Linked DNA regions of Anolis sagrei. The protein of the gene in region 2 purifies or fractionates together with the protein of the main gene of each other region. This does not show direct contact. Links are inferred from orthologs where the notes say so. Each region holds a gene or a part of one and is shown on either strand. Other genes may lie near its edges.

Region 1 (7,518 bases), on a different chromosome or scaffold from region 2:
TACCAAATTATTCAACTTATGCTGATCAAATGCCAATATATCCTGACTTTTCACTTTACAAAACTAACAATCACTTGACTGATCTCTGGGTTGCCATCAAACCATAGGTATACCAAATAGCAATTTATGACGTGTTCTTTCATCTACATCTGTCAACACTTGACACGCTGCTTGCACACCTCGTGAGTGGCCCAAGACTTATCTTGATTGCCAAGCTTTACTTTAAAATATGCAAAATAGGGTTGCCAGACAAATGCGCCAATGTTTGTCTTTTGACTGAGAATAGTATAACAGCTACTGATAAACTGAATTAGGATTGTTTAGGCACTTAGGATGAGAAATAGCAGAGGCAGAAATTATCTTTAAGAAAGGAAATAGGTAAGCATGTGTGTAAATTAAAAAATGAATTCTACATTCTTGTATACAGATAGGAACTCAGACTACACTTTAGAATACGATTCACAATATAGAGCGGCACGCAACCTCTCACCACTATGTAAGTTTTTTGTGCCAGGAGTGACTTGAGAAACTGCAAGTCGCTTTCGGTGTGAGAGATTGACCGTTTGCAAGGACTTTGCCCAGGGGATGCCCAGATGTTTTACTATCCCATGGAAGATATAATTATGCAAGGAAATAGTTTCAGTTGTTAAGACTGAATAACATGCTGTCTCTGATCTGTTAGGAAAACAGATTTGCCAGTGCATAAAAACAGCAGAGCTTTAGAAGTGTTTTTCGGTTGCCCAAAAATATATAGACTCCCATAAAACAACTTGTTTTCTACCATGCACTCAAGAGACAAAAACAAAGTAGACTTTGATAAAAAAAATAACATATTTGGTTTACTCACAGCCTTCATGTGTCCAGCATACACAGGTACAAAACTTATCAGTCCAGTTTCAGGTGTGTTTGAGACAATTCTCTGTGCCATCCACAACATCTCTTACAACAAAACTGCTATCAACATAATCAAAAGGAGAGAGAAGAAAATGTATGTGTTCTGTCAGCTCCTTTTGTAACTTCTCAGGAACCATGATGGAAGCTGCATACCAGAACATGCAGGAAACAGCAACAGGGTCATAGATAAACATTACTAGAGAAGGCTTGAAGAAGGTTGTCATTTCCAACATAAAGAGGTACAAAAGGAGGGGGGACTTGGTGTGATGATGGAGTGCTCACAGGCTTGCTCTGGGATGTCATTCCATGTTTGACCTTGCTTTGAATTAAACTGGCATATACAGGCAGTCCCCAAGTTCCATTTTTAAGTGTAACACCAGCTATACACCCACCCACTCACACACAGTTACACAACTGTGTGTGTGTATACAAGCTTTGGATAGTATAGGGAAGGGTTAACACTCTTGTGTTTGCTTTTCTGTCTGTGTCCCTGTTCAGATTTCCCCTGAACAGGGACACAGATAGAAAAACAAACACCTGTGATAATTTGATTTTTTTAAAAAAAATTGGCTTGTGTGGAAATAAAGATTGGCAAGAAGGCTTCAGTGGAGACACCTTTTCGAGAAATTAATTTTTCCTTTCTAGAGGTAGATTTCCTCTCACTTCCTTGTTGTCTCATTGTTAGGGATTCCTCATCTTTGGAAGAGGAAGGGGAGCAGGGAAGTGCTCAGGAATTGGAGGGAGAAGACGAATCGGACGATGAGGTTTTGAAAGTGCCCACATTTCTAGAAAGACGAAAAGAGACAGAGTACAGACGGTGTTCAGCTAGAATAGCTGCTAAAAACGCTGAGCTAATTGGGAGATGCCCTAGCACCTCCTGCAACTCCTCCACAGTTAACTTTAAAGCAGCCACTTGTTGTTTTAAATCTTTGACCTCCTCCATGGCCAGACAGATTTATGGCTGGCTGAAAAGTTAAGGCTGTAAAAAATTAGGGCTGGTAACAATCTGACCTGAGTTGTCCTTCAAAAACAGGCTTTATACAATATTGAAAGTAAAAGAAAAATGCTTTACTTCAGCAGACACAAAGGATAGGAAAATTGAATAGTGCAAAAGAAAGCACGTCTTAATCCAAGACACAAATTAAAGTCTCTTACAAAGTCCCAAAAGAAACAGCAGTCTTCCTTCAGACAACGGGCAATGATCACGAAGTCCTTAGCAGCAGACACAAAGCAGGTTCCATTGGAGTGAAAACATCAGTATCAGGATCATTGTTACTAGCAAAAGCTGACTGCTCCTGCTTCTGATTTATAGCCCATGCAGGAGGTGCTAGGGCATCTCCCAATTAGCTCAGCATTTTTAGCAGCTATTCTAGCTGTGCTCTGTCTCTTTTCATCTCTCTAGAAATGTGGACACTTTCAAAATCTCATTGTCTGATTCTTCTTCTCCCTCCAATTCCTGAGCACTTCCCTTCTCTCCTTCTCCTTCTGAAGATGAGGAATCCCTAACACTCATCCCCATTCTTAACTAGGAGCCATTGCATGTCTGTAACTGCCTGTACATGCTTTAGAGAAGACTGTTCTGAATAGTAAGGTCCGTTTTGTTGTAGACACTAGTAGTCCATGCGCATAGTGCAACGAGCGCGTGCATCGTGTACCGGCATGCCTCGGGAACAACTGAGCTCAGTTTCTACTCTGTAGCTAACCTGTCCAGTCTCGATAAAATAGTGAAGAGTAGAGACATCAGACTGGCAACAAAGATCTGCCTAGTCAAAGCCATGATATTCCCTGTAGTCACCTATGGATGTGAGAGCTGGACCTTAGGGAAGGCTGAGCGAAGGAAGATCGATGCTTTTGAGCTGTGGTGTTGGAGGAAAGTGCTGAGAGTGCCTTGGACTGCGAGAAGATCCAACCAGTCCATCCTCCAGGAAATAAAGCCCGACTGCTCACTGGAGGGAAAGATACTAGAGACAAAGTTGAAGTACTTTGGCCACATCATGAGGAGACAGCAAAGCCTAGAGAAGACAATTATGCTGGGGAAAGTGGAAGGCAAAAGGAAGAGGGGCCGACCAAGGGTAAGATGGATGGATGGCATCCTTGAAGTGACTGGACTGACCTTGAAGGAGCTGGGGGTGGTAACGGCCGACAGGGAGCTCTGGCGTGGGCTGGTCCATGAGGTCACGAAGAGTCGGAGACGACTGAATGAATGAACAACAACAACAACAGCTAACCTGTACGGTTCTGTTCTGTGCTTTAAAAATGTTTAAGACTATCAACTCACCCTCCGCATGTGAGGTTCGCTCAGTGATACGGTTTTTGTCAGCAAGGAACCTGCCTGCTGCAGAAATTCATCGACAGATTTGTGAAGTGTACGGTGATACTGTTATGAGTGAAAGCAAAGTGCGTAAGTGGGTACGACAATTCAAAGATGGCCGTGACAATGTCCATGATGAGGACCGCTCTGGTCGCCCTTCTTTGATTACAGTGAACTCTTGGTTATCGGAGCAGGCGGCAAGTTTTTATGAAGAGGGTATGTTAAAATTGGTGCTTGGGAGGTATAAGTGTTTGAACAAACTTGGCAACTATGTTGAAAAATAGAGTGAAGTATGTACTTTCTGAAAACAAATTTACTTTTTTGAAATAAACTTTCGTTGTGTACTTATGTTCAAATGGACCTTACTTAAAAAATACCCCTCATAATATATAAACATGCTTACATGAATGGGTGCATGTGTTCCTTTCTTCTTGCCCAGTGACCTCCTACCTCAGGGCCCTTCCACACAGGCCTATATCCCAGAATATCAAGGCAGGAAATCCCATATTTATCAGAGTGCGGACTCAGGGCCCTTCCAAACAGGCCTATATCCCAGAATATCAAGGAAGGAAATTCCGTATTATCTGTGTGTGGACTCAGGACCCTTCTACACAGGGGCGGCTCAACCCATTACGCAAAGTAAGCATTTGCAGTATAGTTGATTTTGCCCAGGGGCGCTCTTGAGGCGCTCTTGGGGGAAAATAGACCTTGACTTATGCGAGTTGTAGTTACTGGGATGTATAGTTCACCTACAATCAAAGGGCATTCTGAACTCCATCAATGATGGAATTGAACCAAATATGGCACACAGAACTCCCATGGCGAACACAAAATATATATCAGTGATTGGTTGGAGGGGGGGACGCCAAAATACTGTTTGCTTACCATTGAAAATTACCTAGGGCTGCCTCTGCTTCTACACAGGCCTATATGCCAGAATATCAAGGCAGGAAATCCTATATTGTCTCAGTGCGGACTCAGGGCCCTTCCACACAGCCTATATCCCAGAATATCAAGGCAGGAAATCCCATATTATCTCTGTGTGGACTCAGATAACCCAGTTCAAAGCGGATATTGTGGGATTTCCTGCCTTGATATTCTGGGATATAGGCCTGTGTGGAAGGGCCCCTAGATTGACTTCCCTGCTTTTCAGGCTGAGGAGGAGGAGGGAGGGGCGAGAGGAAGGAGGGAGGGGGGAGAGGAGGGCGCGCGCCTTCCGTTGCCTGGGAAACCTGCGCCCGCCCCCTCTCTGCTGTCAGGGAGGAGGCCCCGCTTCCTTCATCCGGGCAGTCAGCTGATTGCGAGGAAGCCCTGCGCGAGGGAGGGGAAGGGGCGTGGCGCAGTGTCGGTCGCGAGGGGGCCACGCTGGGAGCTCCCCTCAAGGTGGTGTGGCTGGGGGCCTTGTCGCCCTCCCTCCCTCCCTGCCGCCTGAAAGAGTTGTGAGGGAAGAGAGGCGTGCCCTTCCTGCCTTCCCTCCCCTCCCTCTCCGTCTCCGCTGGGTTTCTAGGGACTTTCCAGAGGCGCTTCCTGGCCCGCCCCGTTTCCGCCCGCGGCTCCTTCCGAAGCCAGGGCAGGGCAAGGCAAGGCAAGGTGGCGGGCGGGCACTCTTCCTCCTATCCTTCCGCGCCATGGACTGCGAGGGGTACCGCTCGGTGAGTCTGAGGGGCCTGCGGGGGGCAGGGCTTTGCGGGGATCGGGGGGCAAACAAAGTGCTTGGGAGGCCCGGATGTGCCCTTGGCTCGCGCTGCTCCCGCGTGTCCCCCGGTGGGGGCCTCCCCGCCACCCCCCCTCCCATTGCCCTTTCCTGCTGTGAACGTGGGGGAGCCCCTCCCCGCCTCCTCCTCCCATGCTGGGCAAAATCCTTCCAAAGTTTGAAAGAAGTATCTGCCTTTTACAAAATTTTGTAAGCAACCCCCAAACTCTACTCACATTAACTTGCAAAACATGGGGTAGGAACCTGCTTCAGGAGAAATAAACTTAATTCCAAAGCAGTCCAAACTTGCTTACACACGGTGCCTAACTGACCAAGGTGAAGGAGCCACGGAAAGCCAGGGGCAGGCATGTAGCGGGGGGGGGGGGGGTGCTTGAGGGGCTTCAGCCCCCCCCCCCCCGAAATTATTTATTTACTTTATTTCTATACCGCTTTTCTCAGCCCTCAGGCGACTCAAAGCGGTGAACAACATCAGTACAAAATATCATAAAACAAATATAGGGCAATTAAAAACAATTATCACATAAAACATTAACATCAGTATAACAATCATTAGCACCTCAACAGTAAAATCAGAATCCAGTCTCGTCATTCATTATTCCGTATTCCTATATTCAATTACACTGTTTAATCAAATGCTTGTTCGAACAGCCAGGTCTTCACTTTCCTCCGAAACGCCAGCAGGGAGGGGACCAATCTGATATCTGCAGGCAGGGCGTTCCACAGCCGAGGGGCCACCACTGAGAAGGCCCTGTCTCTCGTCCCTGCCAAGCGCGCCTGTGATGCAGGCGGGACCGACAGCAGGGCCTCCCAGATGATCTTAGTGTCCTAGTCGGTTCATAGGAGGAGATGCGTGCGGAGAGGTAAGTAGGGCCAGAGCCATTTAGGACTTTATAGGCTACAGCCAGCACTTTGAATTGTGCCCGGTAGCAAACTGGCAGCCAGTGGAGCTGGTGCAACAGAGGAGTTGTGTGCTCCTTGGTGCCGCTCCTGTTAGCAACCTGGCTGCCGAGCACTGGACCATTTGAAGCTTCCGAGCAGTCTTCAAAGGCAACCCCACATAGAGAGCGTTGCAGTAGTCTATGCAGGATGTAACCAGAGCGTGGACTACCGTGGCCAAGTCAGACTTCCCAAGATACAGGCGCAGCTGGGTGGTCCGCGAGAAGGCCTTACTGATACATTATTTCAACTGTTATGTTTATTCATATCATGAACTGATCACCATGCTCAATATATCCCATATGCATGGGGCTTAAATTATTTCAACTGTTATATTTATTCATATCATGAACTGATCACCATGCTCAATATATCCCATATGCATGGGGCTATTGGGATAATGATACAAAAGGTTTGCTATGGTAGATCCTCAGTCCCTCCTTTGAATGAAACTCACCCCCCCAAATCAAAATCCTGGCAACGGGCATGGCCAGGGGTGTCCTGCCCATGTAGGGCCCCATCAGCCTTACGATCGCCTTCGTTGTCACTTCCATAGATGGAAAATCTGTGGATACAGGGGTCCGGGTATAATAGTTCTACATCAGGCACGGGCCAACTTTGGCCCTCCCTCTAGGTGTTTTTGGACTTCAACTCCCACAGTTTCCAAGCTGTTGGGAATTGTGGGAGTTTAAGTCCACCACTATGCTCTACATCAGGGGTCCTTGAATTTTTTAAACAGAGGGCCAGGTTAGAGTCCCTCAAGCTGTTGGAGGGCCAGATTATAATTTGGAAAAAAACATGAATGAATTCCTATGCACACTGCAGATATTTGATTTGTTGTGCAAAAAACACTTAAAATACAATAATTAAAATGAAGAACAATTTAAACAAATATAAACATATTAGTATTTCAATGGGAAGTGTGGACCTACTTTTGGCTGGTGAGATAGGGTTGTTGTTGTTGTTGTTGTTAGGGCTGTTGTTGTTGTTGTTGTGTGCATTCAAGTGGTTTCAGACTTAGGTTGACCCTGAGTGAGGGCTGGGTAAATGACCTTGGAGAGCCGTATCCGGCCCCTGGGCCTTAGTTTGAGGACCCCTGATCTACATAGTGGTGGGTGCTCCATAAGCCCCTTCCACATAGCTGTATAAAATCCCACATCTGCTTTGAATTTGGTTATATGGCAGTGTGGGTTCAGGCCCCTTCCACACAGCCATATAACCCACAATATGACAGGAGTATGGAAATATGAAGTAGTTAAAGATAATCTTGGGATCGATGTAAGACCTAATGTTTTATGGTATGTTGTGATTGTTATAATTTTGTAGTTTTAATGGTTTCAATCTATTTCTATATGTGGCTGATTTGATATGTGATGTTTTATATGTGTAAACCCCCGGTGGTGTAGTGGGTTAACCCTTGGGCTTCTGAACTTGCTGACTGAAAGATCAGTGGTTTGAATCAGGGCATTGGGGCGAGGCCTCCTGTTAGCCCCAGCTTCTGTCAACCTAGCAGTTTGAAAAAGTGCAAATGTGAGTAGATCAGTAGGTACCACTTCTACGGGAAGGTAATGGCACTCCAACCCCACATGACCTTAGAGGTGTCTATGAACAATGCCAGCTCCTTGGCTTAGAAATGGAGATTAGCACCACTGCCCAGAATTGG
Region 2 (6,836 bases):
AGCAGGGGGCAGACCAACTTTCAATAGCCTGCAGCTCCACTTCTGTCAACCACCTCCACCAAGTCTGGCCTCCTTAATGAGAGCATTCAACACACACACACTCAACTTGGTTGCTTCACTACATCGGCTATTGCTGCAAGTAATGACAGTGTGAATAAATTGTCAATATTTGCTTGAGATAGTGCTTACAGTTCTGGAGGGACTCTTCATTTTTTTGCATCTCATAGACTTAGCACGGGGATATGGTTAACCAGTTAAAATTCATGAGTAAACCAGGTTTTTAAAAAAAATCTGAAACATTTCGGGGGGGGGGGTTGAACCCCTAAAACCACCCCCTCGCTACAGGCCTGCAAGACACCTAACAACCTAATGTATGTCCTCCACTCAAAAAAATAGATTTTGTCATTTGGGAATTGTCGTTGCTGGGATTTATAGTTTACCTACAATCAAAGAGCATTCTGAACTCCACCAATGATGGAATTGGGCCAAACTTAGCACACAGGGCTCCCATGACCAACAGAAAAAAACTGGAAGGGTTTGGTGGACATTGACCTTGAAATATAGTTCACCCACATCCAGAGAGCACTGTGGACTCAAACAATGATGGATCTGGACCAAACTTGGCACGAATATTCCATATGCCCAAATATGAACACAGATGGAGTTTGGAGGAAATAGACCTTGACATTGGGATTTGTAGTTACTGGGATTTATAGTTCACTACTATTAAAGAGCATTCTGAAACCCACGAACGACAGAATTGGGGCAAACTTCCCACACAGAACCCCCATGACCAACAGAAAATACTTAAGGCCATCCAGTCCAACTCTCTTCATCAGGGCAAGAAAATGTAATCAGAGCCCTCCTGACAAAGAGCCATCCAGTCATAGATATAGATAGATAGATATGATTCACACACACACAGATATAGTATCATAGATTTGAAAGAGACCCTTAAAGGACAATGATATGTTGCATATTCCAGAGTAGGCAAACCAGACACTCTCCACATCAACACTGACAAAGAAACAACAAGAAATACTGTTTACTCACAAGCATAAAGGAATTACGTATATTAGAAACCAACACTTTCTCATTACTTTATTTTCCAGATCACCAGACTGGGCCACAGCAACGCGTGGAAGGGGACCGCTATTGTTTAAAATTTCCAGTTAGGGGTTAAACTGAGGCAGAGGCTAGATCTACACTGCCATATAAAATCCAGATTACCTGCTTTGAACTGGATTATATGGCAGTGTAGACCCATATAATCCAGTTCAAAGTAGAAAATCTGGATTATCTGATTTGATAATCTGGATTATATGGCAGTGTAGAAGGAGCCTCACCAAGGTACAACTCCCAGGATCCCATAGCACGGAGCTATTGCAGCCAAGGTGGAATCAAACTGCGTTAATTCTATAGTGCAGAGTTTTATAAGGTGGGTTTGTGCATGCAGTTTAAGGAAAAATAGTTACACTCAGAGACACCAGACAAAACTATTTCAAATATTTAGAGCCTCTTCCTGAGCGGAGAGGACTTTAGAGGAAATCACGGGTGGTCCAGTAGCCAATCAAGAAGCAGAAGCTTTTCGGAAGGTCATGTGGGGGCGGAAGAGGCCCACGGAGGAAAGTTTGGTGTGCGTGGATGACGTCACCTTCTTGCCTGGGAAGAGGCCCGCGCATGCGCAGTTGTATATAGTAGTTTTACAGTGTCCAAAATGTTTTGAGAGATCACAGAAGCTATGGTAATCACTTGAAAGCCAATTAAATATATTCAAGAGCTAGTATATGTATGTGTACCACACACACACATATATGCAATAATCATAGTTAATTTTTCGATTTTATATTTCCATTAGAAGATGCAAATCCAGGGAAAGCTGGGTACCTATGGTACCCTTCAATTAAAGTTTTAGTTTAATTGAGGTGGCACAGTGGGTTAAACCCCTGTGCTGGCAGGACTGAAGACCGACAGGTTGCAGGTTCAAATCCGGGGAGAGGCGGATGAGCTCCCTCTATCAGCTCCAGCTCCTCATGCGGGTACATAAGAGAAGCCTCCCACAAGGATTATAGAAAACATCAAATCATCCAGGCGTCCCCTGGGCAACGTCCTTGCAGACGTTGGCCAATTCTCTCACACCAGAAGCTACTTGCAGTTTCTCAAGTCGCTCCTGACACGACAAAAAAAAAAGTTTTAGTTCTCAGCCTCTCAGCACAGATGAATACAGGCAAATTATTTTCAAAACGAGTAGATTCGTGTTATCTCAAACCCCATGGGTATTTTAATGTGGATATTGAAGGTTATGTGTGCCAGGTTAGGTTCATCAAGCCTATCTATTGACTTTTATATATCACTAGCCGTCCCCTGCCACACGTTGCTGTGGCCCAGTCTGGTGACCTGGAAAATAAAGTAATGAGAAAGTGTTGGTTTCTAATATATGTAATTCCTTTATGCTTGTGAGTAAACAGTATTTCTTGTTGTTTCTTTGTCAGTGTTGATGTAGAGATTGTCTGGTTTGCCCACCCTGGAATATGCAACATATCATAGTCCTTCTTTAAGGGTCTCTTTCAAATCTATGATACTATATCTGTGTGTGAGAGAGAGAGAATCATATCTATTTATCTATATTTATGATTGGGTGGCTCTTTGTCAGGAGGGCTCTGATTACATTTTCTTGCCCTGGTGAAGGGAGTTGGACTGGATGGTCTTAAGTATTTTCTGTCGGTCATGGGAGTTCTGTGTGGGAAGTTTGCCCCATTTCTGTTGTTTGTGAGTTTCAGAATGCTCTTTAATTGTAGTGAACTATAAATCCCAGGAACTACAAATCCCAAATGTCAAGGTCTATTTCCTCCAAACTTCATCTGTGTTCATATTGGGCATATGAAATATTTGTGTCAAGTTTGGTCCAGATCCATCATTGTTTGAGTCCACAGTGCTCTCTGGATGTAGGTGAACTACAACTCCCAAACTCAAGGTTAATGCCCACCAAACCCTTTCAGTGTGTTCTGTTGGTCATGGAAGTCCTGTATGCCATGTTTGGTTGAATTCCATCATTGGTGGAGTTCAGAATGCTCTTTGATTGTAGGTGAACTATAAATCCCAGCAACTACAACTCCCAAATGTCAAGGTCTATTTCCCTTAAACTCCACCTGTGTTCATATTTGGGCATATGGAATATTCGTGCCAAGTTTGGTCCAGATCCATCTTTGTTTGAGTCCACAGTGCTCTCTGGATGTAGGTGAGCTACAACTCCCAAACTCAAGGTCAATGCCCACCAAACCCTTCCAGTATTTTCTGTTGGCCATGGGAGTTCTGTGTGCCAAGTTTGGTTCAATTCCATCGTTGATTGAGTTCAGAATGCTCTTGATTGTCGGTGAACTATAAATCCCAGCAACTACAACTCCCAAATGACAAAATCATAATTTTTGAGTGATGGTCACTCCTTGTGTTGTGAGACGTTTTGTTGCCAAATTTGGTGTGATTTCGTTCATTGGTTCTTTTGTTTTTAAGGTACTCATTATGCACAGAGCATTTTTATAGATAGATAGATAGATAGATAGATAGATAGATAGATAGATAGATAGATAGATAGATAGATAGATAGATGTCTGCCTAGCCTACAATGTACATCAGTAAGGCTTTCTGGAGAAAAGGGGCGTGGCCTCCTCCTCCTCCAGCTCCCCCGCCTTTTCATCTCCCACGTTCTCCCGCCTAGACTGAGGCCAGACGGGGAAAGCAGCCATGAGGAGGCGTGGCTTCCCGGAAATGCCAGCCGCCGATTGGTCGACACTCCCAAATAAGGCGTGGCCAGTGGCCTCGCGCCCCCTCCTCGAAGTTTTTCGGGGCAGTCTGTGCCGAGCGGTGAGGGAGGCCGGAAGTGGCCGCAGCAGCAGCAGCGACTCTTTTCTTCCCCTTGACAGGTGGGTTTCTTCGCTTGGCTGGTTGAGGCCTTGTGCGTGTGGGGAGCCTTTGTCTGAACGGAGCGGGGGCGGCCGCCCTTTTCCCTCCCTCCCTTCCTACCTCTTAAAGTTGGCCTTTATCCCTATCTCGGTTCTTTCTCAACGACTTCCTCAAACTTAATTTCGGGTTTTATGTTCAGTTAGACTCCCAGGGCTTTTTGGCTGAGCTTTGGCGTGTGCAACCGTCTCTTCAGCGTCCCCACAGAGAGGAGAAGAGAAAGGAGTCAGAATTAAAGAGTTTGAGGGCTAGCTCAAGTCCCCCCAGCATCCTGTATTAGTTCACATCTCATCAGTCTCTAGTCCTCATTACGAGAAATAGTTACTTTTGTTCCCTGAGGAGCCAAGTGGCATCATCTCCCCATCTTCCAGGTGCCTTTTCCCATTCATTTCCACCCCCAGAAGAACTCCCAAAAGTTTCCCTCTGAGGGTGCATCTACACCAGGAGTCCTCAAAGTTTTTAAACAGAGGGCCAGGTCACAGTCCCTCAAACTGTTGGAGGGCTGGATTATAATTTGGAAAAAAATTGAATCAATTCCTATGCACACTGCACATATCTTATTTGTAGTGCAAAAAACACGTAAAACAATACAATGATTAAAGTGAAGACAATTTTTAACAAATATAAACTTATTAGTATTTCAATGGAAAGTACGGATCTGCTTTTGGCTGATGAAGTAGGGTTGTTGTTGTTTTGTTGTGTTGACCCTGAGTGAGGGCTGGGTAAATGACCTTGGGCCTTAGTTTGAGGACCCCTGATCTACACTGTAGAATGAATGTAGTTTGACACCAATTTAATTGCCATGACTCAGTGCTATGAGAGTTGTAGTTCCACAAGGTCTTTGGCCTTCTTCTACTCTGTCGGAGAAGGCCAAAGACCTTGTGGAACTACAATTCCTAGGAACTACGACTCCTAGGATTCCATAGCACTGAACCAGAGCAGTTAAAGTGGGGTGAAACTGCATTATTTCTTCAGTGTAGATCAGGCATGCAGCTGGGGGGGGGGCTTGCCCCCCCCCGAAATTCTCATGATTGTCCGCGAAAAGGCCTTACTGGTGCATTATTTAAACTGTTACGTTTATTCATATCATGCTCTGATCACCATGCTCAATATATCCCATATGCATGGGGGTATTGGGGTAACGATACAAAAGGTTTGCTAGCGTTTGCTTGCCCCCCCCCCCCCGAAATTCTCATGATTGTCCGCGAAAAGGCCTTACTGGTGCATTATTTAAACTGTTACGTTTATTCATATCATGCTCTGATCACCATGCTCAATATATCCCATATGCATGGGGGTATTGGGGTAACGATACAAAAGGTTTGCTAGCGTAGACCCTCTTTCACTCAGACTCAGCCCCCCCCCCCCCCGAATTGAAATCCTGGCTAGGGGCCTGGTGTAGATGTACCCAGAGTTACTCAACTGAGGGCAGTACCACACGGCCATATAACCCACAATATCAAGTCAAAAACCCCACAGTATCTGCTTTGAACTGTGTTGTCTGAGTCCACACTACCATATATTCCAGTTCAAAGCAGAAAATGTGGAATTTTATTCAACTCTGTGCCAGGGGCCTGAGGGCCCTTTTGGACAGGCCCTATATCCTAGGATCTGATCTCAGGTTTTCTACATTAAACTGGATTATATGAGTTTGCACTGGGATAAACAGAAAACCTGGGATCAGATCCTGGGATATAGATCCTGTCCGAGCCCAAGTGAGGCTTTCAGTGTACAATCGACCTGCCTGGTTTATGGGCCATTATGGGAAGGGATCCAGCCAAAACATGAGATGATTAGTGGATGGAGAGAAGAGAGTGATGTGTTAAAAACTCTATAAAGTTCCAAAGGTAGCAATTGAGATCATGAACTGTCAACTAAACCTTTCACTCGTTTTTGCTCATTTTCTTGTCTCTTTAATATCTACTTTCATGGGTACATCTTTAATTCAATCATGGGCAAACTTTGACTCTCCAGGTGTTTTGGACTTCAACTCCCACAATTCCTAACAGAATTTTTTGGAGTTGAAGTCCAAAGCACCCGGAGAGCTGAAGTTTGATCATGCATGATCTATATCCTGTAATTAATGCAGTTTGATCCCACTTGGTTCATATGGTTCAATGGTTGACATGGTTTAATGCTATTTAATCATAGGAGAGGTAGTTTTACAAAGCCTTTATTATTTTCGGCCAAAGGATGTGGATGCCTCACCAAACTGCGTATTCCATAGTATTGAGCCATAGCAGTTAAAGTGGTGTCAAAGTGTGTTAGCTCTACAATACAGATCCAACCCAAGTCATCTTCAGTTTATGGAGACCCAACTTCCAAGTCACTGTCATCAACAGCCCTTGTAAATTCAGGTCTGTTGCTTTTCTGATTGAGTGTTTCTCATCTCTGTTCTAGGTGATTTTATTTCTTTTGTAAACTGCCCTGGTTTTCCTTCCTTCCTTTTTTGGTTAAAGTGGGAAAGATGAACCTGCTACACAATACTTTGTGATTGATATTGTGGGGAGGTGCCAATCTAAAAGCATCCTTGGCCTCAAGAGGCCAAGCCAGTGCAATTGAGCTGCTTTATAAAAACGCACATTATTTTCGGCTGTCCCTAAAGTAGTGCCAAATGCGTTGGAGCACTTTTGGGCAGACAGCTCCTGGCTATCAGTCAAAAGGCCTGCTGCAGCTGTTCCATCACTTCCTCCTTAACAGATCTTTTTGTGGAAAGAAAATAAAGCAAGGAGCAAGGGTGAGACAATTATAAATGGAAGATGACATCATTGTGACCCCCTGTACAACTCTGAGAATGAGACAAGGGGCCTGAACACAAACAGAGGCCCACTCGAATGAAAGAAAGTGGTTTCATAACCCCTTTCAACCATGAAGCTTAT
Region 3 (7,527 bases), on a different chromosome or scaffold from region 2:
TTCTCTGCAAGGGGAAGGCAGGGGAGGCGTGAATAATAGTAACCATAATATATTTTATTTTTAACCTCTCCCCCCGAAGGAACTCAGGGCGGTTCCCAAAGGCAAAAAATGGAAAACATTCAAGGCCATGTGCAATAACAAAAACAAACATTAAAACAAATTCAACACCTTGGCTGAAACGAATCAATCAGGCATCATAAATAACACAATAGACCAGGGGGCCACAAACCTTTAAAACAGAGGGCCAGGTAACAGTCCCTCAAACTGTTGGAGGGCCGGATTATAATTTGAAAAAAAAAATGAAAGAATTCCTATGCACACTGCACATATCTTATTTGTAGTGCAAAAACACTTAAAAACAATACAATAATGGAAATGAAGAACAATTTCAACAAATATAAAATTATTAGTATTTCAATGGGGAAGTGTGGGCCTGCTTTTGGCTGATGAGATAGGATTGTTGTTGTTGTTATGTGCTTTCAAGTAATTTCAGACTTAGGTTAACCCTGAGCGAGGGCCGGGTAAATGACCTTGGAGGGCCGCATCCGGCCCCCGGGCCTTAGTTTGAGGACCCCTGTTCTAATCTGTCAAGATCGTTTTGAATTCTGCTCCTGTCCTCTGGAGTATTGGCTATCCCTCCCCATTTTGTGTCGTCTGCAAACTTGATGATCATGCCTTCTAGCCCTTCATCTAAGTCAGGGGTCCACAAACTTTTAAAACAGAGGGCCAGGTAACAGTCCCTCAAACTGTTGGAGGGCCGGATTATAATTTGAAAAAAAATGAAAGAATTCCTATGCACACTGCACATATCTTATTTGTAGTGCAAAAACACTTAAAAACAATACAATAATGGAAATGAAGAACAATTTCAACAAATATAAAATTATTAGTATTTCAATGGGGAAGTGTGGGCCTACTTTTGGCTGATGAGATAGGATTGTTGTTATTCTTGTGTGCTTTCAAGTTGTTTCAGACTTAGGATGACCCTGAGCAAGGGCCGGGTAAATGACCTTGGAGGGCCGCATCTGGCCCCCGGGCTTTAATTTGAGGACCCCTGATCTAAGTCATTAATAAAGATGTTGAACAGGACCGGGCCCAGGACGGAACCCTGCGGCACTCTGCTCGTCACTTCTTTCCAGGATGAAGAGGAAGCATTGGTGAGCACCCTGTTTCACCATCTGTTTCCAAAAAGGAAGAAAAGGACAGGCAGAACTCTCTGCCAAAGGGGTTCCCAAGACCACCAGAAATAAGTGTTTTCTGATGGTCTTTGGCGACCCCTCTGAAACCCCCTCCCCCTGGGGTCTCTAACCCCAGGTTGCGAAATGCTGCTTTAGGGCTTTATTTGTTGTTGTTCATTCGTTCAGTCGTCTCCGACTCTTCGTGACCTCATGGACCAGCCCACGCCAGAGCTCCCTGTTGGCTGTCACCACCCCCATAGAATCATAGAATTGAAGAGTTTGAAGAGACCTCATGGGCCATCCAGTCCAACCCCATTCTGCCAAGAAGCAGGAATATTGCATTCAAATCACCCCTGACAGATGGCCATCCAGCCTCTGTTTAAAAGCTTCCAAAGAAGGAGCCTTACAGGGAGAAAATTAACTTCATGGTCAATCTTATGGTTTGCTTGTAAAATCTGTCCAACATCTCCAGCTTGTTGTTGTTCATTCGTTCAGTCGTCTCCGACTCTTCGTGACCTCATGGACCAGCCCACGCCAGAGCTCCCTGTCGGCTGTCACCACCCCCAGCTCCTTCAAGGTCAGTCCAGTCACTTCAAGGATGCCATCCATCCATCTTGCCCTTGGTCGGCCCCTCTTCCTTTTGCCTTCCACTTTCCCCAGCATCATTGTCTTCTCTAGGCTTTGCTGTCTCCTCATGATGTGGCCAAAGTACTTCAACTTTGTCTCTAGTATCCTTCCCTCCAATGAGCAGTCGGGCTTTATTTCCTGGAGGATGGACTGGTTGGATCTTCTCGCAGTCCAAGGCACTCTCAGCACTTTCCTCCAACACCACAGCTCAAAAGCATCGATCTTCCTTCGCTCAGCCTTCCCTAAGGTCCAGCTCTCACATCCGTAGGTTACTACAGGGAATACCATGGCTTTGACTAGGCGGATCTTTGTTGCCAGTCTGATGTCTCTACTCTTTACTATTTTATCGAGATTGGACATTGCTCTCCTCCCAAGAAGGAAGCGTCTTCTGATTTCCTGGCCACAGTCTGCATCTGCAGTAATCTTTGCGCCTAGAAATACAAAGTCTGTCACGGCCTCCACGATTTCTCCCTCTATTTCCCAGTTGTCAATCATTCTTGTTGCCATAATCTTGGTTTTTTTTATGTTTAGCTGCAAGCCGGCTTTTGCGCTTTCTTCTTTCACCTTGATTAGAAGGGATTAGGGCTTTATAGGTAAAGGTAAAGGTAGTCCCCTGACATTAAGTCCAGTCATGTCTGACTCTGGGGTGTGGTGCTCATCTCCACTTCTAAGCCGAAGAGCCAGCGTTGTCCGTAGACACATCCAAGGTCATGTGGCCGGCATGACTGCATGGAGCGCCGTTACCTTCCCGCCGGAGCGGTACCTATTGATCTACTCACATTTGCATTTTTCGAACTGCTAGGTTGGCAGAAGCTAGGGCTGACAGGGGAAACTCACGCCGCTCCCCGGAATCGAACCTGCGACCTTTCGATCAACAAGCTCAGCAGCTCAGTGCTTTAACCCACTGCGCCACCGGGGGGGGGGGTACCCCCATAAACCACAGGCAAAAGATTCGAGCAGGAACCCTCCAGCAAAATACTGAAAATCCACTGAACCCTGAAGGAGAAGCGAGGAGGGAAAGGGGCCCGGAAATCCCTCACCACCACCACCACCACCTTCCCTTGCGGCCCCGACCTGCAGTAACTCCTGTGCGTTGGCCACCGCGATCTGAACCTTGACCTGCTCCATCAGCGCCCCCGCGTCCATCGCGCCACCACCCGCCGCCGCCATCTTTGCAGCGCATGGACCCTGGAAACACTTCCTCTTCCGGCCCCGCCCACTTTCCCACACCATAGAGGCACGGGTACGAAGACGCTTTTATACACTTCCGGTGCTTTTCGACATTTACCCTCCCTCCTCGCCCCGCAAAGGACTGCCAAAAAAAAGGGCAGCCAGAGAAGTCAGCCATAGCAGACCACCTGATGAACCAACCTGGGAACAGAGTATTATTAATGTATCGTCGAAGGCTTTCATGGCTGGAATCACTAGGTTCTTGTGGGTTTTTTCGGGCTATATGGCCATGTTCTAGAGGCATTTTTCTCCTGACGTTTCGCCTGCATCTATGGCAAGCATCCTCAGAGGTAGTGAGGTCTGTTGGAATTAGGACAATGGGTTTATATATCTGTGGAATGGCTGGGGTGGGGCAAAGATCTCTTCCCTGCTGGAGCTAGGTGTGAATGTTTCAACTGACCACCTTCATTAGCATTTGAAGGCCTGTCTGAGCCTGGGGGAATCTTTTGTTGAGAGGTGTTAAGATGTGCCTGATTGTTTCCTCTCTGCTGTTTTGCTGTTATAATTTTAGAGTTTTTTTAATACTGGTAGCCAGATTTTGTTCATTTTCATGGTCTCTTCCTTTCTGTTGAAATTGTCCACAGAAAAGTGTTCCTGCCATACATCAAGGGAACCGCTGACAGCTGATAAGGAAACACAACATACAAACAATCTATTTATTTATTATTTATTTAAAAGTTTTGTATACCGGCCTTCTCACCTCTCTTGAGGGACTCAGACCGGTTTCCAACCATAATATCACATACAATCAAAAAAACATCATAATACATATTACAGTAAAACATTAAAACAGCAATTACAATCAATAACTACAATGGTCAGTCGTCACACTAAAATCGTTGCTCATCATCCTCCATCCATATCTCAGGGTGTTGGCTCACTCTTCGAATGCTTGTCTCCATAACCAAGTCTTCACCTGTTTCCTAAATGTCAGGATAGACGGGGCGGTTCTGATCTCCAGTGGCTGAGAGTTCCAGAGTCGAGGGGCCACCACCGAGAAGGCCCTGTCCCTCGCCCCCACCAGACACGCTTGTGAGGCCGGTGGGACCGAGAGCAGGGCCTCTCCAGACGATCTTAATAATCTTGATGGTTCATAGGGGAGAATACGTTCGGAGAGGTAAACAGGGCCGGAGTCGTTTAGGGCTTTATAGGTTAACACCAGCACTTTGAATCTACAGACACAAGAAAATCCAACAAATGCTCCGTTCAGCAAAGGACAAGAGGGATCCTCTCACCTCTGCAGGAGTCTACCGTGTACCATGCAGCTGTGGACAAGTCTACATAGGGACCACCAAATGCAGCAGCGCCCAAACACGAATCAAGGAACATGAAAGGCACTGCAGACTACTTCAACCAGAGAAGTCAGCCATAGCAGAGCACCTGATGAACCAGCCTGGACACAGCATATTATTTGAGAACACAGAAATGCTGGACCACACCAACAACCACCATGTCAGACTACACAGAGAAGCCATTGAAATCCACAAGCATGTGGACAATTTCAGCAGAAAGGAGGAGACCATGAAAATGGACAAAATCTGGCTACCAGTATTTAAAAAAACTCTAAAATTACAACAGCAAAACAGCAGAGAGGAAACAACCAGGCACATCTTAACACTTCTCAACAAAAGATTCCCCCAGGCTCAGCCAGGCCTTCAAATGCTAATGAAGGTGGCCAGTTGAAACATACACACCTAGCTCCAGCATAGAAGAGCTCTTTGCCCCACCCCAGTCATTCCACAGATATATAACCCCATTTTCCTATTTCCAACAGACCTCACTACCTCTGAGGATGCTTGCCATAGATGCAGGCGAAACGTCAGGAGAAATGCCTCTAGAACATGGCCATATAGCCCAAAAAAACCTACAAGAACCGAGTGATTCCAGCCATGAAAGCCTTCGACAATACAGAGTATTATTATTTGAGAACACAGAAATGCTGGTCCATTCTCACAACCACCAAGTCAGACGACGCAGAGAAGCCATTGAAATCCACAAGAAGCATGTGGACAATTTCAGTAGAAAGGCGGAAACCATGAAAATGACTACACCTGGCTTCAGATATTAAAAAACTCCAAAATCAGGATAGAAAATAAGGAGCAACACTCAAAAAACAGGGGAATTCCAGACGGGAATCAATCAGGGCCAGCTCATACCTCCCAACAAAAGATTCCCCAGGCAAGAAGCAGCCAGGCTTTGAAGGTGCAAGGCCATTCAGTGCTAATCAAACAGACAAGAGTTTGTAATCCCACCCTGGACATAATTTCACAGCAGGCATGTAGCCTGGGGGGGGGGGGGGGGGGGGGGGGGCGCTTGGCGGGCTTCAGCCCCCCCCCCCCAAATTCTCATGATGGTCCGCGAAAAGGCCTTACTGGTACATTATTTAAACTGTTATGTTTATTCATATCATGATCTGATCACCATACTCAATATATCCCATATGCATGGGGGTATTGGGGTAACGATACAAAAAGTTTGCTAGGGTAGACCCTCTTTCACTCAGACTCAGCCCCCTCTCGAAACAAACTCAGCCCCCCCCCCCCCCCCGAATCGAAATCCTGACTATGGGCCTGTTCCACAGGAATATAAACTCCACTTACTGTGTTTCCAATAGACCACACAATCTTTAAGGATGCCTGCTAGAGATGTGAGCAAAATGTCAGGAGAGAATGCTTCTGGAACATGGCCAGGCATCCCAAAAAACCCACAGCAACCCAACAGAAGAATAAATAGAATAATAAAAATCTGGATCTATCTATATCTATATCTTCTATCTATATCTATATTCTATATCTATCTATATAATAATAATAATAATAATAATAATAATAATAATATAATATAATAATAATAATAATAATAATAATAATATATATAGTAATAGTTTTAAGCTGCTGGGCCAGGAAGACAATTAGCTGGGTTAAGACAAGCCGTTTTAAAGTGTTTTAAAGACTGGATTCCTGTAAGTGCTGACTCCATTCTGACTTCGGATTATTTTTGGATGGACATCTCATTTTGACTTAATCTTCTGCTTTTGGACGTGCTATGGGCTTGGGACAGTTTTTTGATAATATAATGTAATATAATGTAATATAATATAATATATATAGTTGTTGTTAGTTTTATCACACCAACAGTCAACAACAGAGGGAGAGGGAAGCTTCAGAAGGTCCCCCTGTCCCGTTTGGAGGTTTTTTCACGTATTGCGCAATCGTGTCCGCCATTAACGAATCGATTCGTATATTTATGAAATTTCATAAATATCGAAAATATGAAATCTGAAATTTCAGAAATCCTTTCAGATTAGAAATGTGGGCGCCCCCTAGATACGAAATGAGTTTAGAACCAATTTTTTTCTTGATCAAGCAAGCCTAATATCTATCTATCTATCTATCTATCTATCTATCTATCTATCTAGCTTGAGGACCCGGCACTGCCCGGATTATTTGAGATAGCCATTGTTTTTCTGTTCTGTAGTTTTAGTCTAGATCTAATGTCTGGTGGTTCAGTGGGTGCGGGTGAACTACAACTCTCATATGCAAGTCCCATCGTCCATAGTACATCCTGCTCCACACTGCACCAGGATGGTGGGTGGGTCATAGGGGCTTTGTGTGTCAAGTTTCTTCTTGATCGGTCATTGGTGTGGGTCGCAGTGGTCTCAGGAAGTGAATGAAGGTACTGCAAACCCCATCATCCATGGTGCATTGTCCCACAAACCACACAAGGATGTAGAGCGGGTCTCTTTATGCCAAGAATCTCTTTATGCCAAGTTCGATCTTGCTCAATCATTGGTGTAGATCGGAATGGTCTGAAGAAATGAGTGACGATACTGTAATTCCCATCATCCACGGTCTAAAGTGTTTCACACCACTCCAGGATTTAGAGTGGGTTATGGGGGCTCTGTGTGCCAAGTTCGATCTTGCTATGTCATTGGCGAGGGTCACAGTGCTCTCATGAAGTGTGTGAAGGTCCCATCATCCATGGTGAATCCTCCTTCAAACCACAACAGGATGTAGAGTGGATCATGGTGGCTCTGTGTGCCAAGCTTGGTCTAGATCAGTCATTGGTGAGGGTTGCAGTGGTCTCAGCAAGTGTGCTTAGGTACTGCAAGTTCCATCATCCGCAGTCCATCCCCCTCCAAACTGCACCAGGATGTAGAATGGGTAATGGGGGCTCAGTGTGCCACGTTTGGTCTTTATCGGTCTTTGTTGGGGGGCACAGAGGTGTATGAGGCCCAAAGGGCTTGTACTACAAATCCCATCATCCATTGCCCATCCTCCCCCAAACCTCACCAGTTTGTAAAGGGTTAATGGGGACTCTGTGCCAAGTTTGGTCTTGATCACTCATTGGATGAGGGTCTCAGCAGTCTTGGGAAGTGAGTGGAGGTACTTCAGTTCCCATCATCCGTGGCCCATCCTCCTCCAATCTGCAGTAGGATGTAGAGTGGGTTATAGGGGTTCTGTGTGCCAAGTTTGGTCTTTATCTGTCTTTG
Region 4 (7,668 bases), on a different chromosome or scaffold from region 2:
CCTTTAATTATAGTCCAGCAAGCAGGTAGTTAGCCATTGCAGGCCTGGGTCTTTGGCTGGTGTTTCCAAAATTATGAGCTCCATACATCCATCCATTCTTCCATTCATTTATCAGAGTTTACTTTTCATTTCTCATTAGCAACTTTTAATTATAGTCCAGCAAGCAGGTAGTTAGCCATTGCAGGCCTGGGTCTTTGGCTGGTGTTTCCAAAATTATGAGCTCCATACATCCATCCATTCTTCCATTCATTTATCAGAGTTTACTTTTCATTCCCCTTTAGCAATTTTTAATTATAGTTCAGCAAGCAGATAGTTAGTATTGAAGGCCTGGGTCTTTGACTGGTGTTTCCCAAATTATGAGCTCCATACATCCATCCATTTTTCCATTCATTTATCAGAATTTACTTTTCATTTCTCATTAGCAACTTTTAATTATAGTCCAGCAAGCGGGTAGTTAGTCATTGCAGGCCTGGATCTTTGACTGGTGTTCCCAAAATTATGACCTCCATACATCCATCCATTTTTCCATTCATTTATCAGAGTTTACTTTTCATTTCTCATTAGCAACTTTTAATTATAGTCCAGTAAGCGGGTAGTTAGCCATTGCAGGCCTGGGTCTTTGACTGGTGTGTTTCCAAAATTATGAGCTCCATACATCCATCCATTCTTCCATTCATTTATCAGAGTTTACTTTTCATTTCTCATTAGCAATTTTTAATTATTGTCAGCAAGCAGCTAGTTAGCCATTGCAGGCCCGGGTCTTTTACTGGTGTTTCCCAAATTATGAGCTCCATACATCCATCCATTTTTCCATTCATTTATCAGAATTTACTTTTCATTTCTCATTAGGAACTTTTAATTATAGTCCAGTAAGCAGATAGTTAGCCATTGCAGGCCTGGGTCTTTGACGGGTGTTTCCCAAATTATGACCTCCATACATCCATCCATTTATCAGAGTTTACTTTTCATTTCTCATTAGCAACTTTTAATTATAGTCCAGTAAGTGGGTAGTTTGTCATTGCAGGTCTGGGTCTTTTACTGGTGTTTGCAAAATTATGACCTCCATACATCCTTCCATTCATTCTCATACACATTATATTAAATCCATATTTATTTATGATATTTTTGTGACACCCCCACCTAGAGACGGCACTGCTATTGACTGACACCCCCCCCCCCCCCGCCACGGCTTTTTCGCTTCCAGGGCTCCTTCCCGTACCTGCTCTTCTTTGGCTCTTTGGGGGCCGTGACGACCGCCCTCTCCGTCCTGCTCTGGACCACTCAGCGGCGCAAGGCCAAGACCTCCTAGGCCGGAATGACCCTCAGCCAACTCCAAGCAGATGAGGATGATGATGAGGATGATGATGAGGAAGCAGCAAAGGAGAGGAGGCTTTGTTACGTAGCCCTTGCCTTAAGTCTCCCCAGGCAATTTGGGGAGGATTCCTTGGACCTGGACTGGGACAGCCAAGCAGGGGACTTTGCAACAACAACCACAACAACAACCACAACAACAACAACCAGGATCCAAGCTTATGGGGCTGGACTTGATTCCTACCCCAAGTGGGTGAGGTCTGCCTCTTGGCTTTGACTAATAATAAAGGGGCTCGTAACGAACTGGTGCTATTGGGGTGCAAATTGGGATGTTCCCTGTTTGGACCTGATCCAGCAACTTCCAGAACCGGAGGGACTTCCTGCTGCAGGATTTCTTCTATCTATTTGAATTTATGGAGCGAGACCCAAATAGCTTGCAATAATGTAAAAGGAAATGAAGGGCAAGGCATTTGTTTACAAGAAATGAGAAGGAATTACGCAATTGATAATAATAACAATAAAATAATAATAAGAATAATAAGAATAATAATTTTTTTTTCTGTATCGGAAGTGACTTCAGAAACTGCAAGTTGCTTCTGGTGTGAGAGAATTGGCTGTCTGCAAGGATGTTGCCCGGATGTTTTGATGTTTTACCATCCTGTGGGAGGCTTCTCTCATATCCCTGCCTGGGTAGCTGGAGCTGACAGACGGGAGCTCATCCGTGCTCTCCCCAGGTTCAAACTGCCAGCTTATTGGTCAGCAGTCCTGCTGGCACAAGGGTTTAACCCATTACATCACTGGGGACTCCATAATAATAATAATAATTATTATTATTATTATTATTATTATTTATACCATCTCCCCAATGGGGACTCGGAGCGGCTTACATGGGGCCAAGCCTGAACAACATATTATATCAAGATAAAACCAAAACATAAGCAACAAGCAACATCATCAGGATTACATTTAAAATAATTCAGTAACGAAATAGCATTACAATAAACAAAAAGGTGCAGCGGAAGAGCCAGGTTTTTAGATGGCCACCCAGCCTCTGTTTCAAAGCCTCCATAGGCTTTTTACCATTCACCATTATTTCTTTGGTTGGTTCTGTTTTCACAGATTATGTGATTATTATGTGAAATTCACTTGTTTGGTCATCTTAGCCCAATGACACCTCTGCTTCAGTGGAATTCACTGTCAAATGCCAAAAGAACTATGAAAACACACAAAAATATATTCTGTGTCAGAGGGTTCCATGGCTGAACGGCTCTCACAGGAAGTTCTTCCTGATGTTCAGGGGAAATCTTCCCCTCCTGTCATTTGAAGCCATGGCTCTATTGTGTCCTAGTCTCCAGAGAAGCACAATTCAAGAGAGATATTGACCCTAAGCTGGAATACTGTGTCCAGAGAAAGAGGGCGACTCAAATGATCAAGGGTCTGGGGAACAAGCCCTATGAGGAGCGGCTTAAGGAGCTGGGCATGCTTAGCCTGAAGAAGAGAAGGCTGAGAGGAGATATGATGAGGGCCATATGTGAGAGGAAGCCACAGGGAGGAGGAGGAGGGAGCAAGCTTGTTTATTGTTTCCTTGAAGACTAGGACACAATGGAGCCATGGCTTCAAACTACAAGAGAGGAGTTTCCACCTGAACAACTCTTCCAACTCTTGGATTCTATGACCCTATGATTCAATCCTCCTCTTTCCCAAACTCAGCCCCCATAAATTCATTTAAAAAAAAAAAAAAAAACGCGAAACAGTGGGAGAACACGAGGAAGAACTTCCTGACTGTGAGGGCCGTTCAGCAGTGGAACTCTCTGTCCCGTAGGGAGTGTGGTGGAGACTCCTTCTTTGAAAGCTTTTAAACAGGGGCTGGATGGCCATCTGTCAGGGGTGCTTTGAATGCAACATTCCTGCTTCTTGGCAGAATGGGGTTGGACTGGATGATGGCCCAGGAGGTCTCTTCCAACTCTAGGATTCTAGGATTCTATGATCGTGGGCCCTCATCCAGTCCAACCCCATTCTGCCAAGAAGCAGGAATATTGCATTCAAAGCACCCCCGACAGATGGCTATCCAGCCTCTGTTTAAAAGCTTCCAAAGAAGGAGCCTCCACCACACTCCGGGGCAGAGAGTTCCACTGCTGAACGGCTCTCACAGTCAGGAACTTCTTCCTCGTGTTCAGATGGAATCTCCTCTCTTGTAGTTTGAAGCCATTGTTCCCTTGCGTCCTAGTCTCCAAGGAAGCAGAAAGGAAGCTTGCTCCCTCCTCTCCCTGTGGCTTCCTCTCACATATTTATACATGGCCCTCATCATATCTCCTCTCAGCCTTCTCTTCTTCAGTCTCAACATGCTCAGCTCCTTAAGCCGCTCCTCATAGGGCTTGTCCTCCATACCCTGGATCCTTTGTGTCTCTCCTCTACCTTCTCTTGGCTAACACATGCCCAGCAGCTCTTTGAGCTGCTCCTCATAGGGCTTGTTCCCCAGACCCTGGATCCTTTGTGTCTCTCCTCTGCCTTGTCTTGGCTGAACATGCCCGGCAGCTCTTTGAGCTGCTCCTCATAGGGTTTGTCTTCCATACCCTGGATCCTTTGTGTGTCTCGTCAGCCTTCTCTTGGTTAAAAATGCCTGGCATCTCTTTGAGCCGCTCCTCATAGGGTTTGTCCTCCATACCCTGGATCCTTTGTGTGTCTTGTCAGCCTTCTCTTGGCTAAACATGCCCAGCAGGTGTTTGAGCCGCTCCTCATCGGGCTTGTTCCCCAGGCCCTGGATCCTTTGTGCCTCTCCTCAGCCTTCTCTTGGCTAAACATGCCCAGCAGGTGTTTGAGCCGCTCCTCATAGGGCTTGTTCCCCAGACCCTGGATCCTTTGTGTCTCTCCTCATGCCCAGCCACTCTTTGAGCCGCTCCTCATAGGGCTTGTTCCCCAGACCCTGGATCCTTTGTGTCTCTCCTCATGCCCAGCTGCTCTTTGAGCCGCTCCTCATAGGGCTTGTTCCCCAGACCCTGGATCCTTTGTGTCTCTCCTCTGCCTTGTCTTGGCTAACACATGCCCAGCAGGTCTTTGAGCCGCTCCTCATAGGGCTTGTCCTCCATACCCTGTATCCTTTGAGACAGTATTCCAGCTGAGAGCCCACCCCTTCCTTCAGTTGTGGAGCCCAGATTGGGATTCCAGGTGTGAATGCAGTCTGTTCAACACCATAAGAATGATCAAGGGGAAGGTTGCAAAGGTGGGCTGTTTGGGAAGAACCCTGTCAGTAGGGGGCGTGGCTACACTCCCCTTGGCCCCGCCTCCTTGGGGGGCGTGTCCCCACCGGGTAGTCTCCGCCCAGTCTGGGTGAGTCATTTCCTCCTGCTGGGGCCCCGCCCCCTTTCCCAGCTCCTTCGCATCCGCAGCAGCAGCAGCAGCCTTGGCCCCGCCCCCTCCTTCCCCCTGCTCTCTCTCTCTCTCTCTCTCTCTCTCCTTGAGGCATGGAGACCACCCCCCTCTTCCTCCGGGGAGGCCTGAGCTTGGTCCTGGAAGATGGGACCGTCCTGCGAGGGAGGCCCTTCGGGGACACGCGCAGCCACGCCGCCGGGGAAGTCGGTGAGTCTTGAGGCAGAGACACCCCCCTCTCTCCCCCCCCCCCCCGCGGTAGAGAGTGCCTCTGAGCATGCACAGAGAGGGAGAGAGAGAGGGGGGGAGGGAGGGGAAGAGGAAAAGAGGGGAGCGCCTGGGTGCCCTTGAGGGGCCCTCCCCCCCTTCCAGGACACGTGTCCCTCGGGCCCCGCCCCCACCGACCTTTGGGGGTGGGGTGGGGTGGGGGGAGGAGGGCACGCGCCCGCCATGTGCTCCCCTGGGGGGGGAGGGGAGGAGGGGGAGAAGCCGGGGGGAGGACCCGCCCCCTGCACCCCCCCCCTTCGGATTTCCCTCCCTCCCTCCCTTCCTTCCTTCTTTCCATTCTTCTTCTATTCATCCTTTTCTTTCTTTTCTTCATTCATTCTTTCCTTCCTTTCTCCTCTTCTTCCATCCATTTTCCCTTCTTGCCATCCATCCTTCCACCTATCTTTTTCTTCCTTTCTCCCCTGGATTTCCCTCCCTTCCTTCCTTCTTTCCATTCTTCTTCCATCCATCCATCCCTCCTTTTCTTCCCTCCTCCTTTCTTCATTCATTCTTTCTTTCCTTTCTCCTTCCTTCTTTCCCGCCCCCTCCTCCCCTCCCCGGATTTCCCTCCCTCCCTTCTTTCCTTCCTTCCTTCCTTCCTTCTTTCCATTCTTCTTCCATCCATCCTTTTCTTTCTTTCTTCATTCATTCTTTCCTTCCTTCCTTTCTCCTTCCTTCTTTCCACTATACTTCCTCTTTCCTTCCTTCCTTCCTTCCATTTTCCCTTCTTGTCATCCATCCTTCCACCTGTCTTTTCCTTCCTTTCTCCCCTAGATTTCCCTCCCTCCCTTCCTTCAGTCCTCCTCTACTTCCTTTCTTCATTCTTTCCTTCTCTCCATTCTTCTTCCATCCATCCTTTTCTTCCTTCCTTCCTTCCTCCTTTCTTCATTCATTCTTTCCTTCCTTCCTTCCTTCCTTCTTTCAACTCTTCTTCCATCCATCTATACTTCCTCCTTCCTTCCATTTTCCCTTCTTGCCATCCATCCTTCCACTTAACTTTTTCATCCTTTCTTCCCTGGATTTCCCTCCCTCCTTTCCTTCCTTCCTTCCTTCCTTCCTTCCTTCCTTCCATCAGTCCTCCTCGACTTCCTTTCTTCATTCCTTCCTTCCATTCTTCTTCCATCCATCCATCCTTTTCTTCCTTCCTTCCTTTCTTCATTCATTCTTTCCTTTCTTCCTTCCTTCCATTTTCCCTTCTTGTCATCCATCCTTCCACCTATCTTTTCCTTCCTTTCTCCCCTGGATTTCCCTCCCTCCCTTCCTTCAGTCCTCCTCTACTTCCTTTCTTCATTCTTTCCTTCCTTTCATTCTTCTTCCATCCATCCATCCTTTTCTTCCTTCCTTCCTTCCTTCCTTTCTTCATTCATTCCTTCCTCCTTCCTTCTTTCCACTCTTCTTCCATCCATCCATCTGTACTTCCTCCTTCCTTCCATCCATTTTCCCTTCTTGCCATCCATCCTTCCACCTATCTTTTTCTTCCTTCCTTCCCTCTTTCCCTCTTTCCTTCTTTCCTTCCATCAGTCCTCCTTGACTTCCCTCCTTCTCTCTTTCCTTCCATTCTTCTTTCATCCATCTTTCCCTCCATCCATCGTTTCCTTCCCCCTTTCTTCATTCTTTCCTTCCTTCCTTCCATCCATTTTCCCTTCTTGCCATCCTTCCATGCATTTCCTTCCTTCCTTCCATCCATCCATCATCCTCCTTGACTTCCTTCCTTTCTTCCTCCTTCCTTCCTTCCATATTTCTTCCATCCACCCATATTTCCTTCCATCCACCCTTTTCTTCCTTCCTTCCTCCTTTCTTCATTCTTTCCTTCCTTCCATCCATTTTCCCTTCTTGAAATCCTTCCATCTATCCTTTCCTTCCTTCCTCCTTCCATCCCTCTATGCCAGGGGTCCCCAAACTACGGCCCGGGGGACAGATACGGCCTTCCAAGGTCATTTACGCAGCCCTCGCTCAGGGTCAACCTCAGTCTGAAATGACTTGAAAGCTCACAACAACAACAACAACAGCAACAACAACAGTCCCATCTCATCAGCCAAAAGCAGGCCCACACTTCCCATTGAGATACTAATAAGTTTATATATATTAAAACTGTTCCTTATTTTAATTATTGTATTGTTTCAAAGTGTTTTTTGCACCACAAATAAGAGATGTGTAATGTGCACAGGAATTCATGCATGTTTGTTTCCAATTATAATCCGGCCCTCCAACAGTTTGAGAGGCTGTGACCTGGCCCTCTGATTAAAAAGTTTGAAGACTCTATGCTTACACCTTTCCTTCCTTCCACCCATCGTTCCCTCCATCCTTCCTCCCCTCCTGCCATCAGTCCTCCTTGACTTCTTTCTTTCTTTCCTTCCTTCCTTCCTTCCATTCTTCGTCCAACCCTCTTTCCTTCCATCCATCCTTTCCTTAGTTTATTGACTCTTCTAAAGCCTTGGGTCATCATAAATGGTGCCAACTTCTGGGTGGGATGTATGCATTCGGGTTAGGGTTCCTTCTTTCTTTCTTTCTTTCTTTCTTTCTTTCCTTCCTTCCATCCATCCATCCATCCATCCTTTCTTTATTTTCAGAAAAAAACCATCTCTTTTGGCTTCCTCTCAAATACACTTTTTCCGCCCCGAGTCCCCTTTGGGGAGAGGGTGGCGGGGTATAAATAAAGATTATTATTATTATTATTATTTCTGTTTGATGGACCCTTCAAAAGCCTTGGAGGGTGTGGAGCGT

Evidence for each region.
Region 1: the proteins of MAP3K14 (region 2) and NFKB2 purify together in Homo sapiens (affinity purification with mass spectrometry; 6 studies listed by BioGRID and IntAct, with this or other methods). This does not show direct contact. The link is inferred for Anolis sagrei from reciprocal best matches to the Homo sapiens genes MAP3K14 and NFKB2.
Region 3: the proteins of MAP3K14 (region 2) and TIMM13 purify together in Homo sapiens (affinity purification with mass spectrometry; 3 studies listed by BioGRID and IntAct, with this or other methods). This does not show direct contact. The link is inferred for Anolis sagrei from reciprocal best matches to the Homo sapiens genes MAP3K14 and TIMM13.
Region 4: the proteins of MAP3K14 (region 2) and CAD purify together in Homo sapiens (affinity purification with mass spectrometry; 3 studies listed by BioGRID and IntAct, with this or other methods). This does not show direct contact. The link is inferred for Anolis sagrei from reciprocal best matches to the Homo sapiens genes MAP3K14 and CAD.

The regions. Positions count from the first base shown.
Region 1 is NC_090023.1:147,141,011-147,148,528, reverse strand, and holds the start of NFKB2 (nuclear factor NF-kappa-B p100 subunit), read left to right. Parts: upstream 1-4,509; 5' UTR 4,510-4,833; coding exon 4,834-4,857; intron 4,858-7,518. UniProt on the Homo sapiens protein: NF-kappa-B is a pleiotropic transcription factor present in almost all cell types and is the endpoint of a series of signal transduction events that are initiated by a vast array of stimuli related to many biological processes such as inflammation, immunity, differentiation, cell growth, tumorigenesis and apoptosis.
Region 2 is NC_090026.1:46,369,336-46,376,171, reverse strand, and holds the start of MAP3K14 (mitogen-activated protein kinase kinase kinase 14), read left to right. Parts: upstream 1-3,831; 5' UTR 3,832-3,920; intron 3,921-6,836.
Region 3 is NC_090034.1:62,746,104-62,753,630, forward strand, and holds the start of TIMM13 (mitochondrial import inner membrane translocase subunit Tim13), read right to left. Parts: upstream 3,020-7,527; 5' UTR 2,976-3,019; coding exon 2,880-2,975; intron 5-2,879; coding exon 1-4. UniProt on the Homo sapiens protein: Mitochondrial intermembrane chaperone that participates in the import and insertion of some multi-pass transmembrane proteins into the mitochondrial inner membrane.
Region 4 is NC_090021.1:519,531-527,198, reverse strand, and holds the start of CAD (multifunctional protein CAD), read left to right. Parts: upstream 1-4,658; 5' UTR 4,659-4,772; coding exon 4,773-4,887; intron 4,888-7,668. Other genes in the region: ATRAID (all-trans retinoic acid-induced differentiation factor), read left to right, coding at 1,205-1,309. UniProt on the Homo sapiens protein: Multifunctional protein that encodes the first 3 enzymatic activities of the de novo pyrimidine pathway: carbamoylphosphate synthetase (CPSase; EC 6.3.5.5), aspartate transcarbamylase (ATCase; EC 2.1.3.2) and dihydroorotase (DHOase; EC 3.5.2.3).